3 linked regions of the Schizosaccharomyces pombe genome follow. The protein of the gene in region 1 interacts with the protein of each later gene in a biochemical or structural test. Each region holds a gene or a part of one and is shown on either strand. Other genes may lie near its edges. The genes, in order: pal1, kin1 and pom1.

The links.
Region 2: the proteins of pal1 (region 1) and kin1 form a complex in vitro, tested with the Schizosaccharomyces pombe proteins (one study listed by BioGRID).
Region 3: of the proteins of pal1 (region 1) and pom1, one has a biochemical effect on the other in vitro, tested with the Schizosaccharomyces pombe proteins (2 studies listed by BioGRID).

Annotation. Positions count from the first base shown.
Region 1 is NC_003421.2:2,395,275-2,400,720, reverse strand, and holds pal1 (protein Pal1), read left to right. Parts: upstream 1-2,461; 5' UTR 2,462-2,572; coding exon 2,573-2,737; intron 2,738-2,983; coding exon 2,984-4,096; 3' UTR 4,097-4,525; downstream 4,526-5,446. Other genes in the region: acyl-coA-sterol acyltransferase Are2, read left to right, coding at 348-1,766; arrestin family membrane adaptor Mug170, read right to left, coding at 4,625-4,673, 4,719-5,050, 5,109-5,358, 5,397-5,446. UniProt on the Schizosaccharomyces pombe protein: Involved in cellular morphogenesis and cell wall integrity. Important for the maintenance of a cylindrical cell shape.
Region 2 is NC_003423.3:2,692,229-2,699,415, forward strand, and holds kin1 (MARK/PAR-1 kinase Kin1), read left to right. Parts: upstream 1-2,103; 5' UTR 2,104-2,939; coding exon 2,940-5,615; 3' UTR 5,616-5,900; downstream 5,901-7,187. Other genes in the region: emp46 (lectin family glycoprotein receptor), read right to left, coding at 1-944; ATP-dependent RNA helicase Mak5, read right to left, coding at 6,061-6,706, 6,744-7,032, 7,084-7,187. UniProt on the Schizosaccharomyces pombe protein: Has a role in establishing the characteristic rod cell shape. Important for cell polarity and is involved in directing growth to the cell ends.
Region 3 is NC_003424.3:532,522-539,816, reverse strand, and holds pom1 (DYRK family cell polarity protein kinase Pom1), read left to right. Parts: upstream 1-1,943; 5' UTR 1,944-2,091; coding exon 2,092-5,355; 3' UTR 5,356-5,697; downstream 5,698-7,295. Other genes in the region: mediator complex subunit Med1, read right to left, coding at 1-452, 495-1,142, 1,189-1,422; NLI-interacting factor-like phosphatase Psr1, read left to right, coding at 6,408-7,295. UniProt on the Schizosaccharomyces pombe protein: Polarity factor involved in localization of polarized growth and cytokinesis. Forms an intracellular gradient that serves to measure cell length and control mitotic entry.

The sequences.
Region 1 (5,446 bases):
CATTCTATAGTGGAACATTTGGCATAGAATTTTTATTTTTGGAATCACGACTGTGGAGTTTTCGTCATACCAGTTCTGTCATCTTGAAATTCCAAGTTGGAACTTCCATCAATAGATTACATTTCTAAGTTTCTTGCTTTCATTCCTCAATTTTTTATTTAGAAGCGAAGCAAAAAATAAATTTAATCTTCCTACGTTCATATCCGCTTCTTTTTCAATTTCTTTGATACTGTTCGCGATACGTAGCTGCTGATTTTACGTTATTTTTTTGTTTTATCTTTTTCTTTATATATTTATCTTTTTTGTTATATATTCACTTAGTTGCTTTAATTGCTGGTTATTTAAAGATGATTGCTGCAACACCCGCTAAATCCAAACCATCGGATGTCAACTTGGAACAGACGTTCAAAGGTGTTTCTGAAACCTCAAAAATTGACCTTCGAAGGTCTAGGGCCGCTTACCGACCTCTGGAATTATCTCCTACTCCCTCGATTTTTGCTCGTAATTATCAACGTAATGCGGTAGACTTTACTGGATTTTTTGTGTTATTTTGGGTTGCTGTCTCTATTATGATTTTCATGAGCTTTTTAGAAAATTTCGAATTGACTGGAAGACCAGTTGTTGGCACTATTTTTAAATACTTTCAGTCTAATTTGTTAGATCTGGCAAAGGCAGACCTTGCTATGTCTTCAATGTTTCTACTTGCTTTTCCTTTCCAAAAGATTTTTGCTTTGGGATATCTGCGGTGGTATGGTTTAGGCGTTTACCTCTATTCCATTCTTATTTTACTTTTTTTAAGCCATTGTGTTTTACGCTGCTGTCTTAGCAACTGGTCCTGGACGCATCGTGCTATGTTTATTCTTCATTCTATGGTAATCCTTATGAAGCTTCATTCCTATAACGTTGTCAACGGTTGGTATTCTTATTGTTATCATTCGTTAAATAAGCTTCAGTCAAAAAAAACCGATCTTGATGATGATGAACGATCCTCAGTTGAGTTTTATGAACATTGTCTCAACCATCATGGTAATACTTATCCGGAAAATTTAACCATACCAAATGCTTTGGATTTCCTTTTCATGCCCAGCTTATGTTATCAATTATACTACCCAAGAACCGCCCATGTGCGAATTCATTATTTGATTGAATGCGCTTTGGGAACGTTTGGTTGTATCTTTCTTTTGGTCATTATTTCTGATCATTTCATGGTTCCTGTACTTGCTAAAGCCATTCGAACCATTATTGAAGCTCCTGAAGACGCATCTGCTACTTATTTTGCTATACGTTTAGGCCATACTGTAGCATTTTTGATGTTCCCATTTATGCTTAGCTTCCTCCTCGTGTTCTGGGTCATTTTTGAAGGAGTTTGTAATTTCAGCGCAGAGATTACTAGATTTGCCGATAGAAACTTTTATGATGATTGGTGGAATTGCTGGACTTGGGATCAATTTGCCCGAACCTGGAATAAGCCCGTTCATTACTTTCTCCTTCGCCACGTTTATGTTCCCCTCAACTCTTTCATGTCAAAGTCTTTATCGACTTTTTTCACGTTCTTTGTCTCCTCTGTATTACATGAACTTGTTATGGGATGTATCACTTTAAAAATCCGCGGTTACGGTTTGTTTTTTCAAATGACTCAAATCCCGTATATCATTATTCAGCGACAGAAGTTTGTTCGAAGACATAGACTGCTGGGAAATATTGCGTTTTGGTTTTCTATCATAATTGGTATCGCTCTTATTGCAGCTCTTTATATCTTATTTTAGAAGCGATAGGGGTCTCCATTATGAATAATTACCTCTTAGATTTTTTTTACAATGCGTTATTTTTTCTAGTGACTATTTCTATCTTTGACACTTTTTGTGGCTCATTTCATCTGCCCAATAAGGGCTCCTTTATGACATTTTATGAATTGTTTTGTAATGCAAGTAGGAAATGCCATTTCTATTTGAACACGTCAAAAGGCTGCAGAGTAATTTTGGTAAAACTTAGTTTTTGTGCCTCTGTGGAACTTCCGTTTCATTTTGTGTCGGTTCATTTGCTTGTTTATGATAAAATGGAATCCTGATTAAATTAACGAATTAAAGAAATGGGTTTAAAACATTTTTTTCGTTGAAAATTATGTTAACCGATTTGTTGTTTACTTAAGATTTTTAACATTCACAGATGTTCGTTTAATTTTTAGCCAGATGATTGCTTTGATTAATAAGTTTCCTCATCTCGTATTTTCATTAACATAACCATCACTGTTATTAATCGAATTAATGTGTCTAATCGTCAGTGGTTAGGATATTCGATTTATTCAGTTTTCCCATTCTTAATAAATGTACTTTTCTGTCTTGCACAATAAAATTATTATAGCAAGAAACCTAGATAACGCAACCCAATGTGCAATAGCACTGTACAGTAAATTGCCTATAAGCAGGGGTAGATATTTTTACCACTGGAATCCCAACTCACCAAGAACCCATATCTTGTAGTTCGAAGTTTGATTCGGAAAAACCTCTTGTGTATTTCAAGGTGCTCTTTCTCAAAACGAAATCGCAAGGGTATCGTTTGGGTGCAATACGGGATGATGGTAATAGAGAACCCTTTTTTAAGTACTGCTACAAGCAGTCAGACACCTCAAGAGGATGGCGTGTACACGTCTTCCCTGCACAACAGTAACAATCCTTTTTTAGCTCCCAAGACAGAGCGTGTGGCTGATCCGGTCATGGAATCTATGGCAGATGACTTGGTATGTAAATTTTTGAGGCTGAAGTAGATATAATTCGGTCATTGCTTCGTTACGTGAAGATTTGTTAAATTTATTGAAACCTTTCCAAATTAGTGTTCTATTAAGAGTTTTTAAGTTTCTAATTTAAAGCGCTCATAACGTACATTTTATTTAGACAAGGAGTTTCTTCGGTTTGCAATGAAGTTGAGCCGAAAATCGAGCACAGCTTTCAATTTTAATATGTTTCAAAAACTAACATTTTACCAGTTTAATAGTATTCAAAAGAAGAAGGAGCCATCTCCTGCTTCCTCTGCTTCAGCAAGTCCCGTTAAAAAATCTGCGGAGGCATTAGCCGAACGATCTAACAGTTCGATGGGCACTTTTGACCCCCCTCCAAGATATTCGAAAATTGCTAGAGCTCGTAGTACTCATGTTGCCAGCTCTAGTCGCCATCGTTCTCCATCGCATAACGACAGTTCACCATCCACCCAATCCAGTTTGAAAAGCAGGGGTAGCATTCGACGCTACAAGTCTGTACGAGAGGGATCACATCGTCCTGGTCGGTCGTCAAAAGAACCATTAGATCAGATAGATCGTTTGGACGTAACAGGGCTTTATGGATCTGGTAGCTTTCATCACGATGGTCCTTTTGATGCTTGTCGACCTCATCGTAATCGAAATTCTAAGAAAGCACCTGTTGCCGCATTTCCAAAAGATAGTATTGCTAATTCCATTCCGAAAGTTGGGGAAACTTATAATGACCCTTCAGTCCCTAAGGATTTTAGCAGAAAAGCCATTCATGAGAGTTTGCGTACAAAAAACATATTGCAATCTCCTTATAAATCTGTTGGCATCGAAGAAGAATTTCCTTCATCTGGCAATAATGATACTCCAGGTTTAACTGACTCTACCCGTATAGAAGGTGCGATGGCTTCAAAAAATGCAATTGCACGTAATGAAGAAATGTTGGCAATGGAAAAAGCGGGCTTGGGAAGAAAAAATTCTCTCATTCGAAAACTTGGATTAAATCGTAGCGCTAGTATGATGTCTCGTACACCAAATACTTTGAATAGGCCATCTAATTATCGGTCTCACTCTTCCATGGGAACCCGAAGATCTCCACTTAATTCCCCTTCTCAACTTGACCCCATTTCTAACGAGAACGAATCTGATACTGATGACAGTAACACTGGCCTTCGTAATCGTACATCTCCTACAGCTGCTCCACCGCCACCTTCTCGTAGGAAAACAGGTGGACTTAATACACGACCTTATCCCCAACACGCTGAATCTCAAATGTCTCTTCCGCTTACTGCGAAAGAGCGTTCCAAACCCAAGAAAATGGGATTTTTTAGACGATTATTCCACAAAAAGTCGTAGGCTTTTCAGGCTTGAAACTTTATTTACTATAATAGCATCTTTGAGTATCATCTTTCTCTATTCCCCTTTTTATTTGTTTACCAATTTCTCAACATCTAATACGTCTGTACCCCTGCTTTTAAATATTGAATCAGCTTAGTTCAATTCTTCGTCCAGTTTGTTGGAAGTTTCTGCTTTAATCTTCCGCATACTTATTATTACCATTCTTTGTTTTTGTCCTAATATTTCGCATCTTGTCCTTTTCTCTTTTGCTTCTTCTCGACATTCACTAGTTCGTCTGAAGTCTACATTTTTCATGCCTACTTGTTCTGCATAACTTTAACAAATCCAGATGCTTTTCTTTTACATTTTCCTTCTTTCGAAATTTTTTCACCTGGTGATATTTTGATTGCTCTCTACTTTAAGTAATTTAATCATGATCTCTATTTTTTCTACAATGCAGTCTTCGTTCATTTACAATCTAGTTTCACTAAGTGAATTGGCAGTAGATATATAGAAGCGTACTCTGCATGTTATAGGTAGCTGATGTTAGTTCCAGGAATGTAAAATCGTTATAGGAATTTGTATTGATAAAATTCTATCTTGTTAGCGTGTGAACTTAAACAATGATTGGATTACATACCTTGGTTTAAAAAATGCTGAGAAACAAACTTCAAGGGTATAATCAATTTTCAGCTGATCTTTTAAATTAACAGAACGGCAAAATTCAGGTATTTTGATTTGTGCGTGGATTGTGTTTTTTAGAGTCGGTGCCAAATTGGAATAAACAGATTTATTAGCAATTTTCCAAGTTGATTTTGCCCTTGTTTTCGTCTTAGTTTTTTGATAACGCTTCAAGTATCCGCAACTCGCGAATGTTTCTTCGGCCTGGTTCATACAATAACCACCGTAATGATTTTGAGTATTAGGGTGAAAGATATGAGTTTCCAGCAATCGTGCTTTTATATTATGAATCTTTTGAGAGTTAGCGATTAACTGTTATCTTTAGTTTAATTAATTTACTAGACTTTACCCTTCTGTGATGATTATGAGTGTAGCAAATGGTAAAATCGATGATTTGACCACTAAAAAACAAGGATCTGTCCGTATGAACCTCCAAGGTAGTTTTTGCTTCTTCTAATGAAAGATAGGGTAGGCTTTTAATGCATGAGATCGGGTTATATAGCTCCGCTATATTATTATGCATTGAAGTGATTACCCGTTTAGGAATTGTACAACGAGTACAGCGAATATTTTGATCCAGAGATGTTAAAGTCAGCGTACTAAGATGTCAGTTACTTTTTTCGGTTTAATCTTTTACCTTGAAATATAGTATAACAGTTCTAATTTCGATGAATGATAAGTACCTGG
Region 2 (7,187 bases), on another chromosome or scaffold:
AATTTTTCAAGGGCATTAAATCTTTCACTTGGGAACTGTGAAGTAGAAGAAATATCGTTCAAACGCTCCAAAGCATTAGTCAACGCAAAATGCAAAGAGTCCATCTTCTGGCGTTGAGATTCTACTAGATTAAAAAGCTTTGCCAAATCAGCCTTTATTGCGTTCAAACCTTCAGTGTCAATAACTGTTTGAGGACTAGTATTGTCACCGACGCTTTGCTTTGTATTGGAGGTAGGATTCAAATTTTCATTATTAGATGTATCTGGAGGAAGTATATTGAGGTTCGATAAAGCCACCAAGTCTTTTGCAGACGTAGATTGAGAGGAAACTCCAAAATAATACCCCTGAGGCAAAATGACATCTTTTACTTGAAAGCAGGGCTTGTCATTCACAAATAACTCTAATCCAGATTGGTCACCGTATTTGAGAATAATATTGTTCAAAGCCTCAGGAGAGCTCTCAATGGTACATTTAGCAAAGGGCGGAAGATCGGGGTCAGTAAACTGAGCAAGTTCAAAACTTTTATCATTCAAATAGCCACGAACAAAGATTTTACCAGTTTGATCGATTTCCTGGGAAATCAGAAGGCCGTCCCACTTATCGGAGGCGCCAAAAACTGGACCTTCTGAACCGACAGCGCTTGTATACCAAATCGCAAAAAAGGTGTTTTCGTTCTCTGATACATGAGCTACAAATGAAGTCGATAGCTGCCAGCCAACTTGTCGTAAAACGCTAGTTGACCAAAGGGATCCAGAGCGTGCTTCATTACTGTCTTTGCTGGTTAAGTAAACGTAACCTGAATCTTCATCCACACTACCGTACCATTTCCATTCAACGGGAATGGCGTTACTTAGTGAATGAAGTTGCAAAAACTGAGATTTAGGGACGGCGTAAGCCAATGTACAACAAAACGATAATACATGAAACAGGGAGCAAAACTTCATTTTTCTTTACTTCGTTTAAAAATAGATAAATGAATATTGTGAAAGTATGCCAAAAAAAAGAGAGAGAAACAGAAATTGAAAGAAAGGATTATTTGGTTAAGACCAGGGACTTTTTGCTCTATTACTTATAGAAAAAGATTACTCCAGTCCTTAAATCCTTTAGTTACCGGGAACCAAAGTAAATAGATGTATTTTTGGTTTATTAGTTACCGTCAGAAAGTTTATCTACAAAATTCCGTAAATGTGAAATGACAACAACCGCCAACTCAATCGTAGTAAATAAGGATGATATTTCGAAAGTCACCTAACGAGTAATGTTAGACTTCCCTATATTTAAACATGGCAGCTTTCTGAGCAACTATGGATGTTGCAGTAAAATTGTATATGAATTGGTTTAATTGCTCGAAAGCATTGTTTGTGTGCAATGCAACTTTTCAATGCGAAGTGTATTTAATGATTATAACAAGCAATAAATGTAGTAAAAAAGACCATTTCTCTACTCCACATCAGAGACAGAAACCAGTTTTTGTTTTTTTTTAAATTGTGACTAAAAAAACAAAAAAACAATCAATGAATTAAGAGTACCGTCATGGTCGATGACTAATTTTAGTCGTTAAGAAAATTAATTGATTGTTCCATCGAAATAAATTTCATAAGCTTAAGAGACATGAAAAATACTTAAAACAAAACTCTAGAGTAACTTTAATATTTCGTTAATTTAAAAAGTTTTGACTTGGCACGATAATTCAGATGTATGAATAATGTAAAAACACACGCGTATTTGTTCATTTATGAGGAAACTGTGATGGTGATTTATTCATTGTATTTTTGAATACGCATATATTTAAAAGATTTAAGTATACAATTTCAATTGAGTCGTTTGCTGCATACTAAATCCATTTTTAGATACCATGTTTTTCTCATAACCATAAAGGAGCATGCTTGCGCCTCGGTATATAGCAGTCGTGATCTTTTAAAAGGGTGTGTGGGAAAGGAAAATACAAGTCGATAAATACATGAAATAGATTAAAAAAATAAAAGTTTAAGAAAATAGTAACTGGTAGGCTATTTTGAAGTCTTATCTCTATATAAATCGATACTAAACGTAATGAATGCTTTAGCATGGTGCATTCATCCATGACATCTCCACTGCTGCTTTAACCATTCCGTACAACAACAAAGCCAGTGCATTTGGGTTAGGGAATCCTTCCTTTACAGTTTCTGGCTTCATTTCCTTTTTTTGTAATAATTTAATTGAAAGGAAAGAATTGAAGAGATATTGAATGCCTTAGGGGACGTAGCATAGATTTGCAGTGGTTGTTAGACAGGAAACAAATTGCGGGAAAATCTCAAAGTCGTTTGACTTTCTGTTGCTCAATAAAAGAAACAGGAGACCTGTTTATACTAGAATTTCTCAAACAAGAGTTTTTACGACCGAAAATTATCGAAACAACTATATTTTTTGGTCGTTTATCTTGTTCATCGAAAAAGCTAAGCCGGTTTACCTGTTCTTCTTCCATCTTCCTGCTGCTCTAATAATCTCATTTGTTATCTTTTCAAGCTTTGCTTATTTGTTTTGATTGTAGAAACGGCTTTATCGGCTTGTGAGCATCCTTCTTTTCACAAACAATATTGATTGACTACTAATCCGTTTCTAAGCCACGAGCATTCTTGTAACTAGATCGCTTTGCTTATTTGTTTTCATCTCGTACAAGAATTTCTTCGTCCCTTTATTGTTTTCTTTTTAATTTTTCGGATTTCACGCTTTTTCGTAATATTTGTCATCTTAGGTTCGCAAGGAAACTGGTGCCACGATTTACGATAACAAAGTATTTTTTGTCAACCAAGATTTACACGTTTGTATTATTTTCACAAAGTTATTATTTTATTACATTACTCAGTCGGCTTATTTTGAGTTGATTGCTAATTTTTGCCTCTCAAAAGTTCAAGCAGTAATTTTATATCTGCTTTTTTGTCTGTTGATCCCATTTCCTGATGGAGTACCGTACCAATAACGTACCCGTCGGTAATGAGACAAAGTCTGCCGCTTTAAATGCGTTGCCGAAAATTAAAATATCTGACTCGCCCAACCGTCATCACAACCTGGTGGATGCTTTTATGCAATCTCCTTCTTATTCTACACAACCAAAATCCGCTGTAGAGCCTCTGGGTTTATCTTTTTCTCCTGGGTATATTTCTCCTTCTTCTCAGTCTCCACATCATGGCCCCGTAAGGTCTCCATCAAGTCGAAAACCGCTACCAGCATCTCCTTCTCGTACGCGGGATCATAGCCTGCGAGTACCTGTATCTGGGCATTCTTATAGCGCTGACGAGAAGCCTCGTGAAAGAAGAAAAGTCATAGGCAATTATGTACTAGGTAAAACCATTGGGGCTGGTAGCATGGGGAAAGTTAAAGTTGCGCATCATTTAAAAACAGGTGAACAGTTTGCCATTAAAATAGTTACCCGTCTTCATCCAGACATAACGAAGGCAAAAGCTGCTGCTTCTGCTGAGGCTACTAAGGCAGCACAATCAGAAAAAAACAAGGAAATTCGTACTGTTCGCGAAGCTGCCTTATCTACTTTGCTCCGTCATCCGTATATTTGCGAGGCAAGAGATGTTTATATTACTAATAGTCATTATTATATGGTCTTTGAATTTGTCGACGGTGGTCAAATGCTGGATTATATTATTTCACATGGAAAATTAAAAGAAAAGCAAGCTCGAAAATTTGTGCGTCAAATTGGAAGTGCGCTGAGTTATTTGCATCAAAACTCTGTGGTGCACAGAGATCTAAAAATTGAAAATATTTTAATTTCGAAGACCGGTGACATCAAAATTATCGATTTTGGTCTTTCAAATTTGTATCGACGTCAGTCTCGCTTGCGCACGTTTTGTGGTTCATTATATTTTGCTGCTCCAGAACTTTTGAATGCTCAACCGTACATTGGTCCAGAGGTAGACGTTTGGAGTTTTGGAATAGTACTTTACGTTCTTGTTTGCGGAAAAGTGCCATTTGATGATCAAAATATGTCTGCCTTGCATGCGAAAATAAAAAAAGGTACCGTCGAGTATCCAAGTTATTTAAGTAGTGATTGTAAAGGTTTACTATCAAGAATGTTGGTTACTGATCCTCTCAAGCGAGCCACGCTTGAAGAAGTTTTGAACCATCCTTGGATGATTCGCAATTATGAAGGACCTCCAGCTTCGTTTGCTCCGGAAAGATCTCCGATCACTCTTCCATTAGATCCTGAAATTATTAGGGAAATGAACGGTTTTGATTTTGGACCACCAGAAAAAATTGTTCGTGAATTAACTAAGGTAATTAGCAGTGAAGCTTATCAATCTTTAGCTAAAACTGGATTTTATTCCGGGCCTAATTCAGCTGACAAGAAAAAGTCTTTCTTTGAATTCCGGATTAGGCATGCTGCGCATGATATCGAGAATCCAATATTACCATCTCTTTCAATGAACACTGATATTTATGATGCGTTTCATCCTCTCATTTCAATTTATTATTTAGTTTCTGAACGTCGTGTATATGAAAAAGGTGGAAATTGGAATAGGATAGCAAAAACACCAGTTTCTAGCGTTCCTTCTTCGCCAGTTCAGCCAACTAGTTATAATCGTACTTTACCGCCAATGCCGGAAGTTGTTGCCTACAAAGGCGACGAAGAATCACCTCGTGTTTCTCGAAACACATCACTTGCACGCAGAAAGCCTTTGCCTGATACGGAATCTCACTCCCCTTCTCCTTCAGCAACCTCCTCCATCAAAAAGAATCCATCCAGCATTTTTAGAAGGTTTTCATCACGCCGAAAACAAAATAAGTCTTCTACATCTACTCTTCAAATTAGTGCTCCCCTTGAGACCTCACAATCTCCACCAACACCTCGAACCAAGCCGTCTCACAAGCCCCCAGTATCTTACAAGAATAAACTTGTTACCCAATCTGCTATTGGAAGATCAACCTCTGTTCGTGAGGGCCGCTATGCTGGTATCTCCAGTCAGATGGATTCACTAAACATGGATTCAACAGGGCCCTCTGCATCCAATATGGCAAATGCACCTCCGTCGGTTCGTAATAATCGTGTACTTAATCCTCGTGGTGCTTCCTTGGGGCATGGGCGGATGTCAACTTCTACGACCAACCGCCAAAAGCAAATCCTTAATGAAACGATGGGCAATCCGGTGGACAAGAACTCTACTTCCCCATCCAAATCTACGGATAAATTGGATCCTATAAAGCCTGTTTTCCTTAAAGGCTTGTTCAGTGTTTCCACTACATCGACTAAAAGTACTGAGTCAATTCAACGAGATCTTATTCGGGTAATGGGCATGCTTGATATTGAGTATAAAGAGATCAAGGGTGGTTATGCATGTCTATATAAACCTCAGGGTATCCGAACCCCTACAAAATCGACTTCTGTTCATACACGACGTAAGCCTTCTTATGGCTCTAATTCTACCACTGATTCTTATGGATCGGTGCCGGACACAGTCCCATTAGATGACAATGGTGAGTCGCCTGCCTCTAACCTTGCCTTTGAAATATATATTGTGAAAGTCCCTATACTCTCTCTTCGTGGCGTTTCTTTTCATCGAATTAGTGGAAACTCATGGCAATATAAGACATTGGCTAGTCGTATTCTTAACGAATTAAAATTGTGATTGACTATTAAAGCTGCATACTTTTTTGAAATTATTTATTTCACTTCATTTTACGTTATGACCACCTAATTAGTGTTTATGGTTTTTAATACTAAGACCGCTTCAGGTTGAACTATATTAGACGTTGAGCTTTTTTAGAGACGAGAAACTAGACCTCTAATGCTCTTGCCTGTGAAAGCAAACAGATGCCAGAGGCATGTAAAGTCAACGTGTAAATGCACCCTCGTTCGCTTATGTTTAAGCCAGATACATAAGGCTACTATAATTAATGATATATCTTATAGTAATTCGTTCACTTATATAGTCTAATACGACGTTTTTGTTGATACTTATCTAGCAGTAATATTATTATTAACCCATAACTATAAAATACCAAAAAACCATTGTATAAAAACCTAAATGAAAACCCGTGCTATATGAAAAGTAGCTAAGTAAAAACCCTTTTTTACTTCTTCCTTTTTTGCAGAACTTCCAAAGCACTAATTGAGTCCATTCCGATAATATTATCATGAACTTCTTCGTTGGCTAATTTTTCAGCCATATTTACAAGACCGCTCGTCAAGTATCTACCAGAAAATCCTGTTCTTATTTTTTCGTGTAATAAGGGAGCAAGCTCTGAGCGAAGATGCGCTATCTGTTTCTTATTCTTACTAGATTCAGATTTTTTTGGCAAATCCGGATCCTCATCATCAGAACTTTCAACTCCCAATTCCTGAGCCATCGATTTTAACCAAGCTTCCTCACGTCCCACTCTTCCGTCTTTTCTAGTGAGATTTACAATTTTATGTGCTAAGACGACCCTCGTTTTTAAAATGTCCAATATTGACATATCCACAGGAAAATTAATAAAGGTCTCGATTTTCTTTTTCAACCGATAACATAGTCGTTTCAGCTGTGACAGTTCTTTAGGACCACACATTAAAATTGAAACGCCATCTTCGTTAGCGCGAGCGGTACGACCGCTTCTATGAACATACATATCAGCTGTATGAGGAACATGATAATGAATTACGTGCGTAACACTAGGAATATCAATACCACGGGCGGCCACATCAGTGCAAACAAGGACTCCTTTAGGATTATTTTTGAACCTTGTTAGTTAGTAACATATAAATAAAAATAACTTACTTTTCAAGAGATTGAAGTCTTTTTTTCTGATCTAATTGAGCATGTAGAGGATAGGATGGAACTTTTAACTCATTTAGAAAAGGAGTGATTCTCTTAATATCCTCAATACCATTGGCAAAAACCATGGTTTTTCCAGGATAACGCATGATCAAATAATAAAGATACAAGTCTTTTTCAGCTGGAGCACACTCTATGAGCCCTTCTAATACGCGGCTTGCCACTGCACTTTGAGGATTGGCATCCAAAAATTTGGGTTTGCCAAAGAAACGAACCTCCTTCAACATATTTTCTATGCAGTCGTTAGTAAGTGAGAAAGTAAAATATTTCTAATTGAACATACCCATCGGGCTGTTGTATTTCTCAGTTATATTGCCTTTCATATTCTTTTTAAGGCGTTGCTGTAAACCCTCATCGAAAGTTGCAGAAAAGATAAAAGTCTGACGC
Region 3 (7,295 bases), on another chromosome or scaffold:
ATCGCAAGTCCGATGTTACATGTTTGTTGTATAAGTTTTTGAAAAACATGAGACTGTTGTTTTGACAATTCTTTGCCACCACTAGACATATAATCAACATTCAGTCTTCCATCTGACAATACGGATAGAACAATGATAATTTGTTCGGAATTATTCAGTTTGTTGATTTCTTGATATTGGGCATGAACGATCGGATGCTCCTTAAAATATAGAGAGAGGTGAAGGGAGGAAGATGCCGCAGTCTCTGCTAAATCTGCTGATTTGATATTTTCCAAAATCAATTGTAATAATAAATATTGGCGTACAATAGCAAGTATTCCTCGAATTTGCTTGGGATGATGAAACGGTACGTGACGCAAAGAACGTGCGGAAACATCGAACCCTGTTAGCTGGATGGCTTGATTTTTATTAATGAATTTGTAGTTCACGGTTGATTTTGAAGGTAAACCAAGCTGGTGAAATTAGTTAAGTTGATATTTAGGGAAAGTACTTACCATATGACTATAATTTTGGACAGGCCAAGGAATGGTAATGTCATGGACATGAAGCAAATCAAGTAAAGGTTTGACGCCCTGCTCTGGTATTATTAAATTGATATCATCAAAAACTAGTTCCATTGTTGTAGGAATAGGTGTCAAAGTATTTTCAAGTGCCCAATTAATTTTTGATGATTGGAGGATAGGAGGAGAATTTAATAAATTATATCCGAATAACAAGTGAGGTAGCGACTCATGAGACAAATTATCCATAAAAATTTGAGTGCTATAGGTTTTATCCAAAAGCTTCCAGTATACAATACGCAAACCAAGTTGTCCTTCGTAATTACTGAGAGGCTTTCCGTTTCCATGCATTATAACATTTTCTTCTTGTGCTAGCAAAGATAATTCTGCTTCATAAATAGCATTTAAAGAAGAGGATAGTGAGTCTAAATATTGGAAACAACTTTGTTGGACCGAAGGAGAGGAGTGATCAAAGGTAGCCAACCATTTGACATTCTTTTCAAATAGTGGGGTATTGCAATTGTAAATTGCATCCTTAAGTAATTTTTCTGCAACAGGATTATTATATTGCTCACCACTAGCGTTTGCAAAAGCCAAAACAACGTTGATATCTTTTGGAGACGCATTTATGGGAACAGTGATCTAGATACTAATTAGTAAAACGGTTATGTACAGGATTTAAACTTACGTCGATCAAAATTATTTTTCCAGCTAAACTGAGGACCACTTCATTGGGTTTGGAGGAGTCTTGAAAAACCTCCAGACCATACTTTTTAGCCAAATATTCAAATCCAGTTACAGAGATATCATTCCAAGGAACTGATGATAGACAATCAATCCAATAACGCGTCCAGTTAATCTGATTGGGGTTAGAGGCGTTTCGACGGAAATGAACTTCAGAAAAGAGATGTGGTCTATCCATCGAAAAGATTATTAAAGAAGATTTAGTAAATTAGTCGTGTATTTCGTATTTAATCAGCTTAAAACACTGTATATAAGCGCAATTTTATGTCTGTTCAGCGAGCAATTTAATTTGTTCTGCAAAAAGGAAGCCTTTACTGCCATCAAACTATTTGCTAGAAACGCATTAATTGCAAAAACAAGTAGGTAATTTTGAACCGCCTAAAACTTAGTTTCAATGGGAAGGTCTGTGTGATTGATTTATCTTTATAACGAGGGTTAAAACAGTAGTTATGGGGAATTTTATATGTATACAAATGAAAACCAATTTTAAACCTTGGACTAAAAAAAACCCAAAGTATGTTCACTCAAACTCTTTTTAAAGCATCAAAATATATATGCAGTAAATCTTAATAAAATATTTTCTTTTTGGTAAAATTTGTGCACAAATCAATAAGCGTTCTATGTTTCATTTACAGCTTGCGTGCCCTTTCAGAAGTGGTTGGTATTGATATGCAGGGTGTAGCGCGGCTTTAATTAGCCACGAACGTACTGCTACTAGTTTGCATTTTAAAGAAGATAAGAGACTGTAACTGAAGGAGGGAGCTTATAGAAACAATATTTTGTTTCAAAAAAGCCAGTAAAAGCGTAATATAGTGAGAATTTTGGCTTTTTGAAGCAAAGTTTGCAAATGGGCTATTTGCAGTCCCAAAAAGCGGTTTCTCTGGGCGACGAAAATACGGATGCATTATTTAAACTTCATACATCAAACCGGAAAAGCGCAAACATGTTCGGAATAAAATCTGAACTATTAAACCCATCTGAACTTTCTGCCGTTGGTAGTTATTCCAACGATATTTGTCCAAACCGCCAGAGTTCTAGCAGTACAGCAGCAGATACGAGTCCTTCGACGAATGCCTCAAATACGAACATTTCTTTTCCGGAACAAGAGCATAAAGATGAGTTATTTATGAATGTTGAACCAAAGGGAGTTGGTTCATCTATGGATAATCATGCTATTACTATACACCACTCGACTGGCAATGGTTTACTCCGAAGTAGTTTTGATCACGATTATAGACAGAAAAACAGTCCGAGGAATTCCATACACCGTTTGTCAAACATAAGTATTGGTAATAACCCAATCGATTTCGAGTCATCTCAGCAGAACAATCCTTCGTCGTTGAATACTTCTTCACATCATAGGACATCTTCAATATCGAACTCTAAGAGTTTTGGAACTTCCTTATCATATTATAATCGTTCATCAAAGCCTAGTGATTGGAATCAGCAAAATAATGGGGGGCATTTGAGTGGGGTTATATCTATTACACAAGATGTATCATCCGTTCCTTTACAATCTAGCGTTTTTTCCTCGGGGAACCATGCATACCATGCTTCAATGGCTCCAAAGAGATCCGGTAGTTGGCGTCATACTAACTTCCATTCTACTTCACATCCCAGAGCAGCTTCTATTGGAAATAAGTCTGGAATTCCTCCTGTTCCAACTATTCCTCCTAATATAGGTCATTCCACTGATCACCAACATCCTAAAGCAAATATATCTGGATCCCTTACGAAATCAAGTTCAGAATCGAAGAATCTTTCTACAATCCAATCCCCTTTGAAGACATCCAATTCTTTTTTCAAAGAACTTTCCCCCCATAGTCAAATAACCCTTTCTAATGTTAAAAATAATCACTCACATGTAGGATCACAAACCAAATCACACTCTTTTGCTACCCCCTCTGTCTTCGATAACAACAAACCTGTTTCATCCGATAATCACAATAATACTACTACATCATCTCAAGTTCATCCCGACAGTAGAAATCCTGATCCGAAAGCTGCTCCTAAAGCGGTTTCTCAGAAGACAAACGTTGATGGGCATCGTAACCATGAAGCTAAACATGGGAATACTGTCCAAAATGAGTCTAAATCACAGAAATCTTCCAACAAAGAAGGTAGATCTTCAAGAGGTGGCTTTTTTAGCAGATTGAGTTTTTCGAGAAGTTCTTCTCGTATGAAGAAAGGAAGTAAAGCTAAACACGAGGATGCCCCTGACGTACCGGCAATACCACATGCTTACATAGCTGATTCTTCTACCAAATCTAGCTACCGGAATGGAAAGAAAACTCCTACGAGAACGAAAAGCCGGATGCAGCAATTTATTAACTGGTTCAAACCATCCAAAGAAAGAAGCTCTAACGGTAATAGTGATTCTGCATCACCTCCCCCTGTTCCAAGACTTTCGATTACGCGTTCTCAGGTTTCCCGTGAACCTGAGAAGCCCGAGGAAATTCCTTCAGTTCCTCCACTACCTTCAAACTTTAAAGATAAAGGACATGTACCTCAGCAACGAAGTGTTTCGTATACTCCTAAAAGGAGTTCTGATACGAGTGAATCATTACAGCCTTCCTTATCTTTTGCGTCTTCAAATGTGTTGTCAGAACCGTTTGATCGTAAGGTTGCTGATTTAGCTATGAAGGCCATTAATAGCAAACGAATTAATAAGCTTCTTGACGATGCAAAAGTTATGCAGTCCCTCCTTGACCGAGCCTGTATAATAACTCCTGTCAGAAACACGGAAGTTCAATTGATCAACACCGCTCCTTTAACGGAGTATGAGCAGGATGAAATAAACAACTACGATAACATATATTTTACTGGGTTAAGAAACGTTGATAAACGTCGGTCAGCTGATGAAAACACCTCTTCGAATTTTGGGTTTGACGACGAAAGAGGAGATTACAAGGTTGTTTTAGGAGACCATATTGCTTATCGATACGAAGTTGTGGATTTCTTAGGGAAGGGGAGTTTTGGACAGGTTCTACGTTGTATTGATTACGAAACTGGAAAACTTGTTGCATTGAAAATTATCCGTAATAAAAAACGCTTTCATATGCAAGCTCTCGTCGAAACAAAAATTTTACAAAAAATCCGCGAGTGGGACCCATTGGATGAGTACTGTATGGTTCAATATACTGACCACTTTTATTTCCGCGATCATCTTTGCGTTGCTACTGAATTATTGGGTAAAAACCTTTATGAGTTAATTAAAAGTAATGGGTTTAAAGGACTTCCAATAGTAGTCATTAAAAGCATAACACGGCAACTTATTCAGTGCTTAACACTTTTAAATGAAAAGCACGTTATTCATTGTGATTTGAAACCCGAAAATATTTTACTATGCCACCCATTTAAATCACAGGTGAAGGTGATTGATTTTGGGAGTAGCTGCTTTGAAGGTGAATGCGTTTATACATACATTCAATCTCGGTTTTATCGTTCTCCAGAAGTGATATTGGGTATGGGTTATGGTACACCAATAGACGTTTGGAGCCTTGGATGCATAATAGCGGAAATGTACACTGGATTTCCCTTGTTTCCTGGTGAAAACGAGCAAGAGCAACTCGCTTGCATTATGGAAATTTTTGGACCACCTGATCATTCGTTGATTGACAAATGCTCACGAAAAAAGGTGTTTTTTGACTCATCTGGAAAGCCAAGACCATTTGTATCATCGAAAGGAGTAAGCCGTCGTCCTTTTAGCAAGTCCCTTCATCAAGTATTGCAATGCAAAGACGTTTCGTTTTTAAGTTTTATATCTGACTGTCTAAAATGGGATCCTGATGAAAGAATGACTCCACAGCAAGCTGCTCAACATGATTTTCTTACTGGAAAGCAAGATGTTAGAAGACCTAACACTGCGCCAGCTCGTCAGAAATTTGCGAGACCCCCAAATATAGAAACAGCTCCAATTCCGCGTCCTTTACCGAATTTGCCAATGGAATACAATGACCATACCTTACCTTCCCCGAAAGAGCCCTCTAACCAAGCTTCTAATCTTGTTCGCTCTTCTGACAAATTCCCCAATCTTTTGACAAATTTAGATTATTCAATAATTTCAGATAATGGTTTTTTACGAAAGCCGGTAGAGAAATCCCGGCCGTGATCACACATTACCTTGGAATAGGTTGAAAACCTTTTGCTTGCGTTTCAAGTACATCAACTTTTTTTTCTTTTTAATTTGACCCTTCCATTTCAAGTACTGTTTTACATCATTTTATTAGTAATTCTTCCTTTTTCTATCTACTTTCTTTCTTACAAGGCTGGACTTAATATGTTTAGATAATACTTACCATTTTATTTTATTCCTCATGAAGGATATTTGTTTATATTTACCACTCATACGCTCCTTTCTACTTATAGCAATACTATGCATAATTTATTAAGTGTTTTTTGAACTTCATGTGAAATATTAGAATGAGCGTTGATTGCATTAGTACAACGTGTCAACCATGCTAGTTATATTTTCCATTTAAAAATCCGTTATCTGCTATTAATGTAATTACTTCATGCTACTACTTACAATACCAGTGTGAAGTAAAAAGGGTTTAGCACACAGGACACGAGTATTCAAGTTAGTGTGCTTATAATTATCTTTGCTTTATATCGTTCGTTTATTTATTGAGTAACTCAAATCGTCTATCCTTTGATTCCAGGGTTGCTCCTTTGGACCATTAGTCAGTTCACGTGTATTACTATTCTAATAGTGTAAAGATTGCATTCTTTATCAACAATGAAATAGAAAAAAGATAAATAGAAAATTAAAATAATAAATTAAGGTAGTAATAAAGGTCACTAGTAATTTATATTGTTTACGTGTTTATAGCGGGAGTCAGCTCGTTATTCGCATTGTAGTTTTTGAACTCAACGACCACGGTTGAATTTGGCCAAGAGCAGCTTTAAGCCTTTTTTTATCTGAAATAGCTTTCTCCATTGTTTTGTTTTGAATGGAAATCCATCCCGGAAAAGGCGGAACGATGAAATTATACGTATAAAGCCATACCTAAAGACAAGAAAAATAATATCGAATTTGTGGACCTTATTCACAATACACCCTCACTTTTCAATTTCAGTTAAAATTTTATTAATTATTTAATCAATAGCTATCCTAGAGAATCCTTATACTTTTGTTTTGAGAAAACAACTCCTAAAAAAGAAATGAAATCAACGAAAACCCAACCCTCACCTGAACGTGAACGAGAGCCTTCTTTTTTTCAAAAACTTTTTGGGAATTTATGTTCTTGCTTTCAAGATGCTTCTATTGATGAGAAACCTACTTACACACCGGCTAAGCCTGTTAAAAAAGCACCCTCAGTCGTGCAACCGCGTAGGGTAAGTCGTACACTGCGCAGCTCAGAATCTGTACATACGAATCACGGTCCCGAAAGGGTATTTGAGTCACCGACACCTGCAAGAACTTCTATTTCTTTGGAGTCAGCAATTAGTCCCAATGGAACTACAAATGAACAAGATATTGCGCAGCAAGGGGACATGATAGATAGCCATGTTCATTTTGGTGAACAACCAACAGAACCCATCGACTTTGCAGATCCCCCGTTACCGGAAGTTAAGCGATATGGAGAGGGCAACTGGCTTTTACCTCCCATAGCAAAAGAAGATGAAGGGAAAAAATGCCTTATTTTGGACTTGGATGAGACTTTAGTTCATTCCTCTTTCAAATACATTGAACCAGCTGATTTCGTTGTTTCCATTGAAATTGATGGATTACAGCATGATGTTCGTGTAGTCAAACGCCCAGGTGTCGATGAATTTTTGAAGAAAATGGGTGATATGTTTGAAATAGTGGTTTTTACAGCTTCTCTTGCAAAATATGCCGATCCTGTTTTGGACATGCTTGATCATTCGCATGTCATTCGTCATCGTCTTTTTCGTGAAGCTTGCTGTAATTATGAAGGAAACTTCGTAAAAGATTTATCTCAGCTTGGTCGTAATCTTGAGGATTCGATAATAATAGACAATTCACCTTCAAGTTACATATTTCATCCTTCGCATGCTGTTCCAATATCTTCATGGTTCAACGATATG